Canis lupus familiaris: one gene and its partner. The protein of the gene in region 1 interacts with the protein of each later gene in a biochemical or structural test. Links are inferred from orthologs where the notes say so. Each region holds a gene or a part of one and is shown on either strand. Other genes may lie near its edges. The genes, in order: RC3H2 and KLHL6.

Region 1 (3,818 bases):
TGAGCAGGGAGCCCAACGAGAGGCTTGACCCCAGGACCCTGACATCATGACCTGAGCCAAAAGCCACCGTTTAACCAACCAAGCCACCCAGGAGCCCTAAAGAAGTCTAAGTTTGATGAGAAATTTGGATTTAGTTAAAAAATTCAATGGTTTATTGAAATATTTATGGATGAAAAAATATGATGTCTAGGATTACTTCAAATTAATCCAGAGGGAAGAGAGGGTACAAATGAAACAAGACTAAGTAGATAATTGGGGATGAGGGGACAGGGGGTTTATTATACTACCGGGTCTACTTTTGTATGTGTTTTAAATTTTTCATTACAAGATTTTAAAAAGTTTTTTTTTTTTTCCTATTAGAGCCTGTAGGAATAGAAAATAAACCAAGCTAGAGGTATTTAAAAAATAATAATGTTTTGTTCAACATATAAAAATACTGAAAAAGGGCACCCTGAAATGATCCTGGTACAAAAACTTGTTTTGTAACAAGAACAACCATTAACAGTGATGTAAAACTGCACAAATAAAACAGTAGGCATTTCTGCACCACTTGTAAAAAGTAGGGAAGAGATGCCTCTGCTAGACCAAGATTCAAATCTCAGCTACTTACAGGCTGAATTTACTTCTTGGGCAAATTACTTAATTTCTCTGAGTAGGATTCCTAAAAAAAATACAGACCTAATACCTGCCCCCTAAGATTTTTGTGAGAATTAAATAAAATAACATTATGTAAATACTTAGTACAGTGCCTGGCACAAGTAGGTGCTCAATAAATGGTAGATATAAATCTGATTAATTAAAATCAAAAAAACAATGAGAACTACACTGCTGGAAAGATTTTCAATTCTTGGTGGGAAAAAGACTGACTTCATGGTCTTCAGAGTCTTACAATGCCTAACTGTAGTGCTCATTACATGCTCAGTGTTCAAAGAACAAAGCAGACTGACTCGACTGTATACCAAATCACTGCAAAACAGCCCACATAGCTAAGCCTGGTTTGAAGGAGTATTCTGAGGTCAGGTGTCTGACCTGTCCTTGCAACATCAAGTGATTAAGACCTTTCTTACATCAGTGCGAAAGTCTACACTGAATAGAGGAGAAGGTGGTGTTGGCGACTGTGTTGCCACAGGAAGAGTTGAAGAGACAAGAGGTGTTTTCTGAGTGTGGTACTGTGCCCACTGCTCTGGCTTTCTTCTTATCTGCTCCTCGCAACTGGTCTTCAAATGACCACAAGGTTCCTAAGGGGGGATAAAAGAAACAATCTTAATCATCTAGGGAGCAGTAAATAAATTTAACTATGCTCTGTGGAAATAATGTAAACAGTTCATTATTGTGGGGACAAAAAAAAAAAAAAAAAAACAGTAAAGAAGTCACCTTAGCCTGTTCTCCACGCATTTAAATGGAAGGGTTAATATTTCATCCAGCGATGTTAAAAGTAGTATCTGAGCACTCAGTTTTCTGGTTTAGGGAAGTCATTTCTATATACATGGAATACTGAAAATAGGCCCTGTCTTTGTATTTTGGAGATTTCTTTTTACTTTCCCATCAGTTTCCTATCCAAGCATTAACATTTATTGAGCATTAATATGTATCAGGTCCAGTTCTAAAGGCTTTGTTTTTCTAATTTAATCCTCACAACAGCCTTATGAGGTAGGTACTACTATTACTGCCACTAAACATGAAAAACCTGACACAGAGAAGTCAAGTAACTTCTGTAAGTCACACAATTCATAAGTGGAGGAGCCAGAAACCTATACCTGGGTGGTATGACAAGTTTGACGGCAGGCTCTTACCCACTATACTACCGTAGCACTCTCCTATTTCCACCACCATTACTTACCCTTGGTAAAGGCACACTTGTCCTTGGCTCACTTGGTGGCTGACAAGCCACTGAATAATACCCATCTAATGAGTTATATCTTTCCCGCAAAGACGTCTGATAAACAGACGAGTGCATCACATCCATTGGAGGTAAAGAATTGCTTCTAATAATGTCATCTCGTTGGTACATAGGTGGGCGCCAGATGCGCCTGCTGTCGTACACAGGAGCATACATTCCAGAAGGTACTGGAGGAACTGGTCCATACGGCTGCGGAGGAGGAGGTTGGTAAGGAGAAGAATTCATTCGATCTCGAGGGGAAAATGTACTGTAATGATCAGCATATGGCATAGAAGCAGGTGGGAGGGAGGACTCTGGAACATTATTGGACCTCACAAAGCGAGGAACACAGGGAGCCACACCAGCTGGTACCGTTGGAGGTGGTGGGTAGTATCCTTGAAAATTAGAAAGAGGAATATTTAATGTAATCTCAGCAAAATCCAACATCTTATAAAAGTTTAAGTCTAAAGTAGCCTTTAATGTGGGAAAAGAAAGTAAGCTTTGAACTTTAATCACTCTTGCTTTAGAAAGAAATTACTTTCAGAATCCTACTCTATGAAAATCATTAAAGTTCACTATTTTGTTAAACTGTTTCTCAAAAACACAAGACAGAACTATTAACAGATGGCTGGCAAATTTCCTTCTAGGGCATCTATTGCCACAGGTTTTGGATTAAGTAATTAGCTACATTACCAACTCATAACTTTTGAGGAGCAGAGGTTAAAGACCTTTCAGAATCTATATTAGTTGTACATTGTCTTGCCAAAATTATACAGAAGCATATATAAACCAAATATTCTGCAAATTATTTCAAGGGATAGACAAAATTCCCTGAAGTTCATCCATGGACCCCATATTTCATGCGTAAGAAGGAGAATCTTAAAACTACTGGCATGTAGAATCGATTTTTAGGGCAGAAAGAAAGCTTAGTCCAAAGGATTAATTTTTTTTTCTTCTTTTTTCTTTCTATTTTTTTTAGTAGGCTCCATATCCAGCATGGAGCCCAATGCAGGACTTGAACTCATGACCCTGAGATCCAGACCTGAGCTGAGATCGAAAGCTGGACACTTAACCGACTGAGCCACCCAGGTGCCCCCAATTAATTTAATGTAGCGGGGCACCTGGGTGGCTCGGTTAGTTAAGTGTCTTCTTCGGCTCAGGTCATAATCCGAAAGTCCTAGGATGGAGCCCCACTCTGGGTTCCCTGCTCAGTGCTGAGTCTGCTTCTCCCATTCTCTCTCTCATTTCTCTCTCTCTCAAAATAAAGAAATAAAATCTTTTAAAAAAATTTCTTAATGTAGATACTCTAGATAAGGGATTCACTTATCTAAGGATAAGAAATGTTATATTACAGTTTCTTTTTTTTCTTAGAATTGTCTAAAATTACTTACCTGTCTGTGGGTACTGTGGAACTTCAAAGGGTATCTGAGTCCTTGGATCTTGAAAATACTGAATATTTTCAGAATGCTGAGGATATACTGGTACTCTAGTTATAAATGGGCTGGATTTTGGAGGCACAGAATTCAGCTCTGTTCCAACATTAGAAGGCCCAGCTGAGGTAGCCACTACATTACTTACAGGAGTCTTGGGTGGAGAGCCAATTTTACTGGAGAGATAATTTATCAAGAACAAAGAATAAATCACTGTCTGTAACTGTTTTCTTCCTCAGTAGGAATTTTTCATAAAATTATACAGTGAAACCACTAATAGGAGAAACTTCCATAGTGACAAATAAGGCAATGAATTTCACTGCCAACTTTCCACTGCTAAGTCACAGAATCATAGTAACAGATCTCATATTCTAGTGAAGGCAAAAAGAAATGCAAACAAATCCCAGGTACCAATGTAACCCTCCAATCCCCTTTTACTCATTCTTTAAACAAAGATTTTTTTCCTAGAGAAAAATTTTTTTTTCCTAGAGAAAATTTTTAAAAAGATT
Region 2 (4,502 bases), on another chromosome or scaffold:
TCTGTCTGGGAAAAATCCAAAACTTGGAAGCCATCTTCTTTTGGCAAGCCTATAAGGAGTGTAAAATGATCAAACCCCTATCAAGGAGATTCTGGCATATCCACTTAAACTGCAGGTACATTTCTCCTTGACTCAGCAAACCTTCTTCAAGAAATGCACCCCCAGGTACTCCTGCATGCATATAAAATGACATGTAGAAGGTTATTCATTATGACATCGGTGTATAGTAAAAGATAAGAAACAATCCAAATGTCGGTCAACAGAGGACTGGTTAAATACACTATGGTTCAATCATTCCATGGAAAATATTTATGTTTTCAATGAATAAAGAAAAAAAACCTTACATAATTTAACAGGCCCTCCCAAGCACAGAGGGCTGTGTCGGAAGCCTCTCAGACACAGCAGACTCTCTGCCCTTCCGAAGTGCAAGCATAAAAGGAACTTGGCTCCCAACCCCTTTCAAAACCTTAGAAACAAAAGCAAGACAGGCTGTGAGGCAATGTCTGATTTCATGTGAGTCCTAGGTCAAAATCCCACTTGGTCACTTTATGAGATACTCTGGGCTTTGGTTCCTCATCTGTAAGTGGGGATAAAACTACCCCACTCACAGGGTTGCTGTGGGATAGTGCATGTGACACAGATGGCACAAAACTTTGCTCACAGTAAGTGTTCAATGACAGAAATTATTCTTCAGAGCAGTACTAGAAAAAAGAATCCTGTCTCCAGGACTGTGTTTATTATAGGAGGAAAGTCATCTTAGAAATACCAAGATAAGAATCAAAAGTCACTGCTCTGAAGAAAAGAATAAAAGGAATTTCCCTCCATAACCAGGCAGTTTTGGAAGAGACGCTTCTTACACAGGCGTACATACCATGTATGCAGCCTCCAGCATCTCATTGTTACCAACTCCTCTGAGGACCAGTAGACACTTACCCTAAGTATCCCACATCAGCATGGTTGGAAGGACCTGGGCCCAAACACCTTCCAGTTAGGATGAGAAACCCAAGGACCAGAGGAACCGGTGATCTACTTGAGAGCACACAGTCAGTAGTCCTGTTCCATAAGCAGGACAAACCACTAACAAAATTGCTAATAGGGTATAACTTTGTGTGACAACCATTTTCCAGTGATTAAAAACAGAATGAATAAACCTAAAAATGGGTACTCAGGACATTGATCCAAGAAGCTGACTTTCATGTACTTCTGAAAGTGATTGTGATCGATATAAAGATATGCTCAAAACTGGTGGGCAAGTAATGTGTTTATCTGTGTCAACTTGTCTTTATGACTGTGCCTACACATTACCGTTTATATAGTTCCTATGGAATGAAGCCTCAAATATAGTGGCAATTTGTATTTTAGTAAAAACAAGGATTTCTAGAACATGCCCAATCCCTGCTCTAGCAATGATTACATATGTGAAGTTGGGTTTCCATTTCCTCATTCGTAAAAGGGAACATCAGCCACCTTTACCGCACTACTGCAAAAATAAAATCAGATAACTATGTCTGTCTGGCACATAGCAGGCACTACTTCTGCAAACCCAGGTGTCCCCTTGTCTTGTATACATATGGGATCTAATCATTCCACAACAATTCATTGACCCTGCTCTCTGAATTCCAAGGAAAAATTTCCCTCTAAGCATCTTAGAAAAATGAAAAAATAAAACACTTTCCATGATATTTACATCTGTAAATACTTTTTAATTTCCTCAGTCAGAACCAAGAGTTAAGAAAAATCTTATTAAAAAGAATGATAAAAAAACAAAAAGAATTATAAAGGTGTTTCTTTTTCAAGTTTTCCAAATACCTTCTTCATCCTCATTTCCCTTGGGGACTGGTTCCCACTATGTCTACACTGATCTGGAGAACTCTGAATCCAGCCCTGTTCACTTCATTCCTGATTCTTCCACATTCCTATCCCAGGCATTTGCTTGTGGTAAACACTCAATAAATGGTTCTAAGCTGAACCAAACAGAATGAGGTGAAGACTTTCAGCAGACATAGTGAGCATCTACTATACTGTAGGCACTGTGTAAGAGCCTTTTCCTTCTCATATTTAATGATCACAACCCAGAAAAGTAATCATCATTGTCCCCAGCTTACAGATGACAAAACTCAGAGCATGCAGTGACTTGCCTCAAATCCCAATGTCAGGAAGGGCAGGACAGGATGGAACCCAGGTTTCAGAGTGTGTTATAACTGGGAGCCCCTCACTGCTAAAGCACCTTTGTTACTGCTTTCTTTTCCAATCCACCCTCTAAGTTTCAGCAAGTCACTCATAACTCCCAGAGAGGGGCCACAACCTTTTCTCTACATCTACTGGTGAACAAAGACAACATCATGTTTCCAACACACTAGTCAGACCAAGGGGGAAGAAATCCCCATGACTTCAATAATTTTCCATCCTTTGGAACAAAGACACATATCCAGAAGATTCCCCATAACATATAAATATTGCTTTTAAATTATACCAATCTCTCTTTTAATATGCCTTAAACCCTAAAATCTATGGTTTAATAGCTTCCTTCCTTTTATCTTGAATAGACACACAAATGTAAATAGATATCCAAAATGTACATACAACAACAGCTACCTAGTTAGATCAGGCTCTCACATCAATACCCATTTTCTTTAAACCTGCACCCAATTTGACTGTAATCCTAGGCGCGCTGACCTGAAATAGTTGCTGGCTGCAGCAAGCACCACGCGGTGGCAGGAGAATTCCTGAATGTCCACACACAAGATGACATCTGTCAGAGCATTTTCCACACGGAGGGTGTCCAGGCCATTCTGCAGAATTAAGGAGAGTCCCGTGTCATCGAATTTTACCTTATCCCCATTTAAGATTTCTACCAGGTCTCCCCTTTTCTGGGAGGGCTCATTTGTAGAAGGTGCCAAGGGCTCTTCCAAACTCTTCTCTACCACGTCGCCCATGGTCCAGGAGCCCCTTTGTCCTGCCATCTACATCCAGACTGAAGGAGCGCCCAAGCTTCAGGCAGGTCACATTGCAGAAGCTGGGCGGATTTCCTGTGCAGAGCCCTCCACTTATCACCAGCTGTCACACACACACAACAGGAAGTCTTGTACTTTCTCATCCTGTTACTACAAACGCCAGTAACTTCTATTCTTCTTCTTTCTGTGAGTCAACAAAAGGTTAGAAATTACTTAGAAGGGTTGTGTAGAAAGGGGCTCCACGAGAGAAGGGGTAGCTTCTCAGAGTCTGCTATTAGTGCTGTGGGGTTATTTTGGTCCATCTCCCCCTCATATCCGTGAGCAGGAAGCCTCTGATTCTGGTTATTACATTTGTACCTCTGGCATTTTTATAACCCAAGTCCTCAATGATAGGATGGGCAGGGAACATTATGCAATCTTCCCCCTCCCTCTTGTCAGGAGTCTGAGACCCCACGATAAGCCCCCACCCAGTCCCTTGGGAACTCTGGAAAACCCACTTATTGCTGGCATTCTCATTTATATCAGCACCGCACATATTCTGCCCTTGTCTTCCTCCCTGCTCAGGGGAAAACAATGTCATAGCAAATATTAATGTTCTCCCCCCGCCCCAAGAAAGTCTATTGTTTCAGATATGTCTCTGGGGACAGAGAAAAAATGGTCTCCAGAAACTCCATCCCCAGGGTCTTCTCTCTTAGTAGACTAATCAGGGTAGGTCAACAACAGATTACCCTAGCGAGTCTCCAACTGGTCTGATCTCACTCAGCATCTATTGGTCATGCATCTGATGGTACACCACAAAGTGTCTTCAGTACCTCTGCAGGTCTCTGTTAAAGAATAATAACTACCTTTTCATAAACTCCCACTATATTACAGATTAAAGAAGTTAATTTATTTTAATGTATTTTAATCCTTGTAAGAACCCAAGGGGGCAAATATGATTTTCCTCATTTTACAGAGAAGGAAACTGAAGCTCTGCTCAAGTGAGTGGGAGAACCCAAAGCCCGTTTCTTCCACCATCATCAGGCTAAGAGAGCTGTAATATCATGTTGGTCCTGACTCCTAGATCTCCCACAGAGAACCACAGGCCTTTTCTGCCGTGGCTGCTCCAGTCCGCAGCATCTCCCCAAAGGGGCCTTCGAGGTCTGGTTCCTGCTCTCATGAACCATCTAGCAGTGGGAAACACTGGCTGCTCTGATCAAAAAGGAGTCCCAATCCTTTCTCTGCCCTGGTCAGTAACTGAGCCCTCTTCAGGGGTCCTGGTTCTGCCTCAGCTCTTCTTCTCTTCCATGGATACTTATTCCTAATGTCAGCATCTTTGTTAACTCCCCTCTACCAGACTTGTGCTATATCCAGAGCTCTGTCAATCAAGACAGTTTGGTCTCAATAACAGAAAAGCCCATCAAAAGTGGTTTAAACAATAGAAGTCTCACATTATAAGAAACCAGAGATATGGAGTCCCAGGTTAATCCAGAAACTCAGTAATGTCATCAAGGACACAGAATTTTTCCATTTTCCCATTCTGTCATATTCTCAATGTGATGGAGATGC

Evidence for each region.
Region 2: the proteins of RC3H2 (region 1) and KLHL6 form a complex in vitro, tested with the Homo sapiens proteins (2 studies listed by BioGRID, with this or other methods). The link is inferred for Canis lupus familiaris from reciprocal best matches to the Homo sapiens genes RC3H2 and KLHL6.

Annotation. Positions count from the first base shown.
Region 1 is NC_049230.1:60,005,399-60,009,216, reverse strand, and holds part of RC3H2 (roquin-2), read right to left. Parts: intron 3,486-3,818; coding exon 3,271-3,485; intron 2,275-3,270; coding exon 1,841-2,274; intron 1,239-1,840; coding exon 1,068-1,238; intron 1-1,067. UniProt on the Homo sapiens protein: Post-transcriptional repressor of mRNAs containing a conserved stem loop motif, called constitutive decay element (CDE), which is often located in the 3'-UTR, as in HMGXB3, ICOS, IER3, NFKBID, NFKBIZ, PPP1R10, TNF and in many more mRNAs.
Region 2 is NC_049255.1:16,673,115-16,677,616, forward strand, and holds the start of KLHL6 (kelch-like protein 6), read right to left. Parts: upstream 3,091-4,502; 5' UTR 2,964-3,090; coding exon 2,677-2,963; intron 1-2,676. UniProt on the Homo sapiens protein: Involved in B-lymphocyte antigen receptor signaling and germinal center formation.